Linked DNA regions of Canis lupus familiaris. Each later gene encodes a partner of the first gene's protein in a complex. Links are inferred from orthologs where the notes say so. Each region holds a gene or a part of one and is shown on either strand. Other genes may lie near its edges.

Evidence for each region.
Region 2: the proteins of CINP (region 1) and C15H1orf109 are in contact, whole or in part, in a cryo-EM structure (PDB 8RHN), measured with the Homo sapiens proteins. The link is inferred for Canis lupus familiaris from reciprocal best matches to the Homo sapiens genes CINP and AIRIM. Residues at the interface, in NP_116019.1 of Homo sapiens: Leu161, Leu162, Thr165, Glu169, Asp177, Leu178, Leu180, Ser181, Tyr182, Ser184, Met185, His188, Pro190, Tyr191, Val192, Glu193, Ser194; in NP_001289959.1 of Homo sapiens: Leu107, Gln110, Ala113, Ala114, Asn116, Leu117, Phe119, Val122, Ala124, Leu125, Phe128, Pro129, Asp130, Leu131, Arg134, Leu135, Lys138, Gln139, Ala142.

The regions. Positions count from the first base shown.
Region 1 is NC_049229.1:70,737,553-70,742,083, reverse strand, and holds the start of CINP (cyclin-dependent kinase 2-interacting protein), read left to right. Parts: upstream 1-1,593; 5' UTR 1,594-1,729; coding exon 1,730-1,736; intron 1,737-4,531. UniProt on the Homo sapiens protein: Component of the DNA replication complex, which interacts with two kinases, CDK2 and CDC7, thereby providing a functional and physical link between CDK2 and CDC7 during firing of the origins of replication.
Region 2 is NC_049236.1:4,889,784-4,893,775, forward strand, and holds the end of C15H1orf109 (uncharacterized protein C1orf109 homolog), read left to right. Parts: intron 1-1,390; coding exon 1,391-1,509; intron 1,510-1,702; coding exon 1,703-1,740; 3' UTR 1,741-3,222; downstream 3,223-3,992. UniProt on the Homo sapiens protein: Part of the 55LCC heterohexameric ATPase complex which is chromatin-associated and promotes replisome proteostasis to maintain replication fork progression and genome stability.

The DNA.
Region 1 (4,531 bases):
AAGCCAGTCTTCTACTGAGAAAGAGAATGTGGGGCAGCGCGGGTGGCCCAGCGGTTTAGCGCCACCTGCAGCCCAGGGCGTGATCCTGGAGACCGGGGATCGAGTCCCACGTCGGGCTCTTTGTATGGTGCCTGCTTCTCCCTCTGCCTGTGTCTCTGCCTCTCTCTCTGTCTCAATAAATAAATAAAAATCTTAAAAAAAAAAAAAAAGAGAAAGACAATGTGGCTCCAAAATAACTTAAACCTCTGAAAACCACTTGCTAGTCACTCCTCCAGGAGGGCTATCCGTATCCCATCCTCTCCACCATAGTCTCAAGGCCAGTCCTGAAAACTCAGGGAGAGCATCCCCCCTATTTGTACAGGCTGGTTCTCTGGTTAGAAAGCTCCCTGAGGGCAGTGGGCAGCGACTGGGACCACAGCATCCCTAGAGCCTAGCACATGGCTGACATTCAAGGGACCCCGAATAATCCCTGGTGAATGAACGAACATGGGATGTAAGCTGACATTTCAAACAAAACAAAACAAAAAGCCCTACAAGGTCAGAAACCCTATCAAGGTGCACTTCACTGGGTGTGAGAAAACACAAAAAGCCCTGCAGCTTAGGAGACACTGGCGACTACACAGGATACAGTGGCTTTACTCCCAGATTCTGCTCATGCTGTGTTTGCAAGAAGTGCGCGGGGGTGGGTGGGGGTGGGGTCACCCCCAAGTGCAACGCATCACTCCAGCAGATAAAGCGTGCACCCAGGCTGGGACCCCACAGTCCCGCCAGCAGATGGAACAGAAGGAACAAACGTAACAGACTTAAGATTCCTGAGTGTCAGCGAGAGAGTGAGGAAGGATCCAGAGCAGGGAAGGGAAGTGGAAGTAGAGCATGTGGGCAACCACAGCAAGGGGCGACCCTTTAGTGAAGTGTATCAGGTGCCAGGCTCGGTGCTCAGCACTTCGCACGCACGGACCCACCTGATCCTCCCACCCAGGCGTAGAAGGCGTTATCATCCCCGTTTAACGGATGATAAAGCTGCAGCGCAGCGACGTGGCATCACCTGCGCCGAGCGCACGGCTGGGGGGTCTGAAGCCGGGGCACCCCCTCCTTGAAGCCTCCCAGGCCTTAAGGCAGGACTGGGGGGGGGGGGGCATTCACCCTCCTGAACACCTGGGGGTGCGTGCCCAGGTCTACGCCAGCAGCGCCAGGGCGCGGAGGGTCGGGGGACCGGGCGCAACGTCAGGCAGGCAGGCGCCGCGGGCGGGCCGGCAGGGGGACCGAGGACGCGGGACGGGGGATGAGGGATGACGGCCCAGGGATGAGGGATGAGGGATGAGGGATGAGGGCCCGGGGATGCGGCGGAGGACCGCCCAGCCTGGCGCCTCAGGTGCTGGCGCGCGGGCGAGACGGGCAGGGCGACCCCAGGCGCCGAGGCCAGGGAAGGGCGGCCCCGGGGAGGCCGAGGAAGGGGCGCGGAGGAAGGGGACTCACCTCCCGCGGCGGCCCCTCCGGACTCGTCGGCCGGGCCCGGCCGGAGGAGGCGGGGACGGACTCCGGGCCGCGGGGGCTGCCGGGAGCCCGTTCCCTAGGCAACCGCGCCAGGCCCAGCTGAGCGACAGGCGGGGGCTAGAGCGGCAGAGCCACAAGTGGCGGCCGGCCAGCGGCGCGGAGCGGAAGCACGTCAGCGCGCTTCCGGTAGGCGTGGGCGGGGCTTCGCGCTCCTTCCCGGGATACCTGCGGACGCATGGCAGGTGGGTGCGCGCGCGCGGGGGAGCGTCCTGCGGCTCGGCGGGCGGTCCCGGAGCCCACCGGCTTGACCGGGCCTCTGTGGTCTTCCCGCGTAGAACTACTGGATGTGTGCGAGGGAGTGTCAGCACATCCTGACCCCCCAAATTGTAATTGTCTTTGTAAACTAGCGCTAGCGGGGGTGCTCGGGTGCCAGGGCTTGCATGCCCAGCTCCTCCCAAAACCTTTCCCTGAGTTCCCCTCGGGATTACCCGCCGCACAGAGCCCTTTGCTTCTAATAAGAGCTGTCAATCGGCGAAGTGCTCGCTGCGTGCCGTGTGGTGCCCTTAGTGCTCTGTGGGTCAGCTCGTTTGAGCCTCACCTTGATCCCACGTAGTAACGTGCGCAGGTTGGGAGGATCAGGGAGGGAGCCGCTATGCTGAACCTCTCTGCTCTGTGCTGGGCCTCTCGTTCCTGGTCTCTTTCCCTCCTGGCCTGGGGTCCCTTGGAGTTAGATCTGTGGTTTGGGTTGCTAAATATGGAGCAGACGGAGAATGAATCAGATGTGGTCTTCGCCCTCAAGGAGCGCCTACTGCAGGAGAGAAACCCTTAGGAGATGATAGTGCAGGTGGTAAAAGCTATTTCTCCATTTAACACATTTCATTTGTCACCTACTGTGTGTCTAGGTTAGGAGAGGGAAACAAGACATAGTCACTATTCGGGTGGCCTCACAGTCCACCCAGCAAGTCTACCACACTAGTGAGTGTCGGTGATAGTTCAAGAAGAGGTGCGACATCTAGTGCAATGAGTCCTAACCCAACCTGGGAGATCCAGGAAGATTTCTTTGTGGAAGGAGTGGCTTTCTGAAAACCTAAATCAGATCATATCACTTTCCTACTCAAAGCTTATTGGTTCCTTTCCACTGACTTGGAATAAACCTAAACTCTTTATCTTAGTATGTAAGGTTCCATTTGCTTGACCGCTTCCTCACCCAGATCCCTCCCCACCACCCTTCCATTATAAGTGATGTGGGGTCATGGAGCACAACAGTCAAGAAAGAATTCTTGGGATGTTGCGTGGTGCAACTTAGTAAGTTTATTTAAGTAGCCTGGGGACAGAACCTGTGGGCAGAAAGGGCTGCATTTTTGCGGTATGAAGCTGGTGGTTATATGCTTAGTGGTCAAGGGGGAGGAGACATGCAGAGGGTATTATACATGTTTCCTTGAATTTCTACCCATAAAACTACTTTTGCAACATTTCTCTGGTGCTTATCATTCAGTTCGATATTAACTATCAGTGAGATTTACAGACAGTTATGAGACCCTTTAAGAATGTAGCAACCGGGATCCCTGAGTGGCGCAGGGGTTTGGCGCCTGCCTTTGGCCCAGGGCGCGATCCTGGAGACCCAGGATCGAATCCCACATCGGGCTCCCGGTGCATGGAGCCTGCTTCTCCCTCTGCCTGTGTCTCTGCCTCTCTCTCTCTCTCTCTCTTTGTGTGACTATCATAAATAAATTAATTAATTAATTACAAAAAAAAAAAAGAATGTAGCAACCAGGGGCACCTGGTTGGCTCAGTGGTTGAGCTAAGTCTTTGGCTTAGGTCGAGATCCCAGAGTCCTGGAATCAAGTCCCGCATCAGGCTTCCTACAGGAAGCCTGCTTCTCCCTCTGCCTATGTCTCTGCCTCTCTTTCTATGTCTCTCATGAATAAATAAATAAAATCTTTAAAAAAAGAAAAACCAAAAACTTAAAAAAAAAAAGAATGTAGCAACCAGCACGTTTTATTATTATTATTTTTTTTAACCAGTACATATTTGATCTTTGTTCAGAACTATGTAGACTAAAGGTCAGCCTTCTGGGCTAAAGGTGAACATTTTTCTGCTTCTGCCCTCATCGTAGATACACTGGCCTTGCTCAGTTTTTCAGACTCACCAAGCTCATTCTCACATTAGGACCCATACTGTTGACCTTTCAACAAGCCTAAATAACATCTCTTCAGGGGTTCACTCTAACACAAGACCCCATTTTCTTTTCTATCCGGGCACTTACCAAGATACAAATTGGTCATGGTCATTTGGTTGTCTATTATCCACCTCCTCTTTGGAAAGTAAGTTCCATGAAAATGGTCCTGGTATGATTCATTCAGTCATTTCATCCCCCGTGCCTGGCATATTGTTGGTTAGTGGTATAAGTAAAGAATGAAGGGAAAACCAATATGATCCTTAAATAAGCAGAGCCTTAAAGAATACTAGGAGTTAGCCAAGTGAGTGGAGACACACATGGCCAGGGGAAATATTCTAGGTCAAAGTCAGAACTTGTACAGAGCTAGCCCTAAGGCATGGAGAGCAAGCTGGGGGAAGCTGGAGAAGTGGTAGAAAGGACTTGCATAACAGGCTGTGATATTGTGGTTTATAATAAGAAAATATTTGGTCTTTTTCTTGTTCTTGGCACAGAGGTAAAACCCTTGGTGTTTCTGCAGTGTGAGAATGAGCAGGATGTCTTGTTATGTTGATAAGGTGACTTTTGGGAAGGTGACCTTTGGATGGGGGCTGGTTCCCCCCTACAGAAACCAATCATGTGATTATTAAAGGGTTAGAATTTTCAGCCCCACCTGACTCCCCTGTGCCTCCAGGGGAGAGGGGCTGGAGGTTCAATCAATGGGCACTGCCCAGTGACTTAATCAACCATGCCTATGCAATGAAGCCTCCATAAAAGCTGACAAGGATGGGATTTGGGGAGCTCTAGGTTGATGAACATGTGGAGATTTGAGGAGAATGGTGTACTACTCACAGAGCATGGAGACTCTATGCCCCTTTCCGC
Region 2 (3,992 bases), on another chromosome or scaffold:
CGAGAGACCGGGCCGGACCTTGCAGAGCCTCGGAGGTCTTTGAAAGGATCTTGGCTTCGACGGGAAGCTATTCAAAGGTTTTGAGAAGAAGGTAACAATCAGCCTGTGTTTTTGATGGAGCCTCAGCCAGCAGTACTGAGCACTGATGACGTGCCAGGTACTGTTCTGAGAAAGTCCACACGACCCCTTGGCAGGTGCTTTGATTCTGTTCCCTGGGCCCTCGTATCTTCCTTCTGTATCTGCACTGCCTCTTCCGTAGTTTCTTGCCTCTCGTGTGGCCCCTGGTCTATGCAGCCTCTTGATAGGTTTCTCCACCTCTGGCTTCTTTCCCTCTAAGCTGGCTCCAGCCGCTGTGACCTCACTTCCTTCTGAAGATGTCTTTGTTCTGCCCGTTGCCAACATTGGAGTTTTGAGCAGCTTCCATTGCTCACGGACCGGAATCCCCATGGTGGTCTTCAGTGCTCTTTATGTTCTGGCTCGACCTGCCTTCTCAGCCACCTTCCCTGCTAATGTTCCTTGCTGGCCAGATGGGAGGATTTACTAGGCCCTGAAACCAGTCCGTGCTTCTCCACTTCTGTGCCTTTGCTTACGCCTTTCCTGCCAGCTGGAATCCTTCTGCTGCCACCCGCCCCGCCATCCCCCCCAGCCAAGGGAGGTTTTCATCCTCGGAACTGCTATACAGTTTCCCCTTTAACGTCACTGAGATTGTATCTTTTCAGTTCCTGGCTTGCTTTTTTTTTTTTTTTATGGTGAGATCCTAGGTTGTTGGGGTAACATTTCATCCCTCTGGCCTTGTAGCTCTGTGAGTGAGGAGGTGCTCGGTAAAGATCGGTAGCGTTGGTGAGTCCTGCCACCTGGTAAATGGAAAGATAGGCCACCCTTTCACTCTTCTGGCTCCCGGTCGCTCTCCCCTGGGCATTTTTCCCCTTCAACATCTTTCTTTTCTTTTCTTTTCTTTTCTTTTCTTTTCTTTTCTTTTCTTTTCTTTTCTTTTCTTTTCTTTTCTTTTCTTTTCTTTTCTTTTCTTTTCTTTTCTTTTCTTTTCTTTTCTTTTCTTTCTTTCTTTCTTTCTTTCTTTCTTTCTTTCTTTCTTTCTTTCTCCTTCCTTCCTTCCTTCCTTCCTTCCTTCCTTCCTTCCTTCCTTCCTTCTTTCTTTTTTTAAAGATTTATTTATTTATTTATGAGAGAGAGAGAGAGAGAGAGGGAGGCAGAGACACAGGCAGGGGGAGAAGCAGGCTCCACGCCGGGAGCCTGATGTGGGACTCGATCCCAGGACTCCAGGATCATGCCCTGGGCCAAAGGCAGGTGCCAAACCGCTGAGCCACCCAGGGATCCCTTCCCCTTCAACATATTTCATTTGCTTTTTGGGTAGTCCTTAACTTCCAGGAAGTTACCTGAAGAGAAAGTACCTTCTGTCCTCGATCCAGTGGGGAGACTTGGCAAACATCCAAGCTTTGCCCAAGGCCTGGGACCAAATTTCAGAAGATGAGCACCAAAGCCTTGTACAAGGTGCTGGTTTTCATTTATTACTTCATGTCTGCTCTGTGTGTGTGTGTGTGTGTGTGTGTGTGTGTGTGTCTCTCACTTCTTTGGAAGCATTACAGAGATGCCCTTGCAGTGCGTCTGTGTTTCTTATAAATCTGATGTTTTGCATTCTCTGGAGAGGGTGATATGCTACAGTTTTTCTCTCCTCCTATTCCAGATACCCTGTTGAATGTTTCCTTTTTCCTGGAAGAGTAAGAAAGCTGTGTGTTTATCAGCAGACAAGGGGGACGCAGCTGAAGACTGACATTGGTGCTTTCTAGTGTGGTGACCTGACATACTTGAAAAATCAGTGCCTAGGGCAGCCCGAATGGCTCAGCGGTTTAGCAGCACCTTCAGCCCAGGGCGTGATCCTGGAGACCCGGGTTCCAGTCCCACATCGGGCTCCCTGTAGGGAGCCTGCTTCTCCCTCTGCCTGTATCTCTGCCTCTTTCTCTGTGTCTCTCATGAATAAATAAATAAAGCCTTAAAAAAAGAAAAGAAAAATCAGTGCCTAGAGCCTGAGGACAGGCTTCTGATGTTGGGACCTCTCCCTGCGACATCATGGCTGAGGGCACATGGGCCACCGCTTGGCCTTTCATAAGCTTGGGAATGGAAGGAGGCAGAGAGAATGGGGGAAAGCAGTGCAGAACACTGGGGCAGGAGCCGCTGCCACAGAAGCAGTGGGGAGGGAGAGGGGAGGGAGTGTGGCCTCGCCCTCGGCATCATCCAAAGCTCTGAGCTTGGTTGACACCTGGCCCTGTTCCGTGTATTTGGGTCAGTACCTGATTCCTTGATGGAACAGGATTCTTCTTGATTTAAAGAAGTAAAGGTGATATTGATGGAAGACAGTACAGATCTTTCTCGATGGGTTACCTCCTGATAATCCCATCATAAGTTGAAAATATCGGAAGTCAGAAATGCTCTTAATACACCTAACCTACCAAACCGGTGCCCAAGCACTCACACTAGCCTACAGTTGGGCAAAAATCATCTACCACAAACTTACAATGAAATGTTGAATATCTTCTGTAATTGGTTGAAAAACAGAATAGCTGTACGGGCACAGAATGGCTGTAGGTTGTTTGCCCCTGTGATCTCTGGGCTGACTGAGCTGTGGCATGCTGCCGCCGCCCAGCATCACAAGCATGCCGCAAGTTGCCAGCCCAGGGAGAGAGCCACATTCAAAATGTGTAGGACGGTTTCTGGTGGACACGTGTGGCGTTTTGCACCATCCCATCGTAAGAGTCGAAAAACCGCAAGTCAAAGCGTCGTACCTCCCAGAGTGTCCCTGTTCCCTAACTGCTGTAGCTCCTCACTGTCCGGACAGCTCCAGTTTCTAGAGCCACCACCAGGGGGAGGTGGTGCAGCATGAATTATGCTCAGGGCTCCGACTTTGAGGAGTTCTCTTGTCCCCCTGTCCCAGTTAGTAGCTGGGGAGAGCAAGATGGTTACAATGACAGGGGTTTTGACCAAAGCTGGCGCCTGATTCACCACATTGTTTTGATCTGAGAGTAGCTCCACGGTGGGAGAAGACCTCCCCGAATCAGGCCCTGGGGGTTACATTTCTGAAGCCCATTGCCTTCATCTGTAAAATGGTCGGGTATTTCCAGACCTATCAGCTTCGGGGGTTGTGGAAAAATCTGGGTCACTGAATGTAAAGAGGCTTAATAAAGAGTATAGATATTTTTAAAATGAAAATGACTTTTTTCCTTACTACAAAAGTGATATATATATATATATTTTTTTTTTAAATCATAGAAATGAAAAAAAATCATAGAAATGTCAAAAAATTCTTAAGTGTAGAAAAGTACAAATAAAGCTCCATCAGTGATATTTTGATATATAGACCCTTACGGTGTCCATATTCACACACACAAAGAAACCAAACCCAAATATAGCGTCATTGATCTATCTATAGGGTTATTTAATCTTTTTTTTTTTTTAGGGTTATTTAATCTTGTTCAAAAAACATAGTTTGCCCATCTTTTCGTATCTGTAAAAATAGCTCAACACAATTACAGTAGATACTATTACACACATCATATACCATTTTGTGAACGTATTAGATTTTCTACTTTTCCAAACCTTCATGTGTTTGTGCCTGTAAAGATCTCACATTCTGGTTGCGAAAAACAGAAATATCACAGAAAGTGAAAACACATGGTGTCTTCTGTTTTTAACAATATGGTAGACATTCCTCCAGGAATTTAAAAAACGTATCACATATGTAATAATTGTAAATAAAACTTAACTCAAAAGACATTTGGGTATCAGGCCATAAGATACACTCTGGGGGCAGATGAAAGAGATCCCTAGAAAGATTTATAGTCCAACCAGGGAAAGCTTGAAACCAGCGTCTCTCAAGGTTTAACGTGTATAGAAATCACTGGGCTCTTGGTAAAATTTAGATTTGGATTCTGCAGGCCTGGGGTGGCAGCGTCCTAGATTCTGTATTTCTCACATGGTCT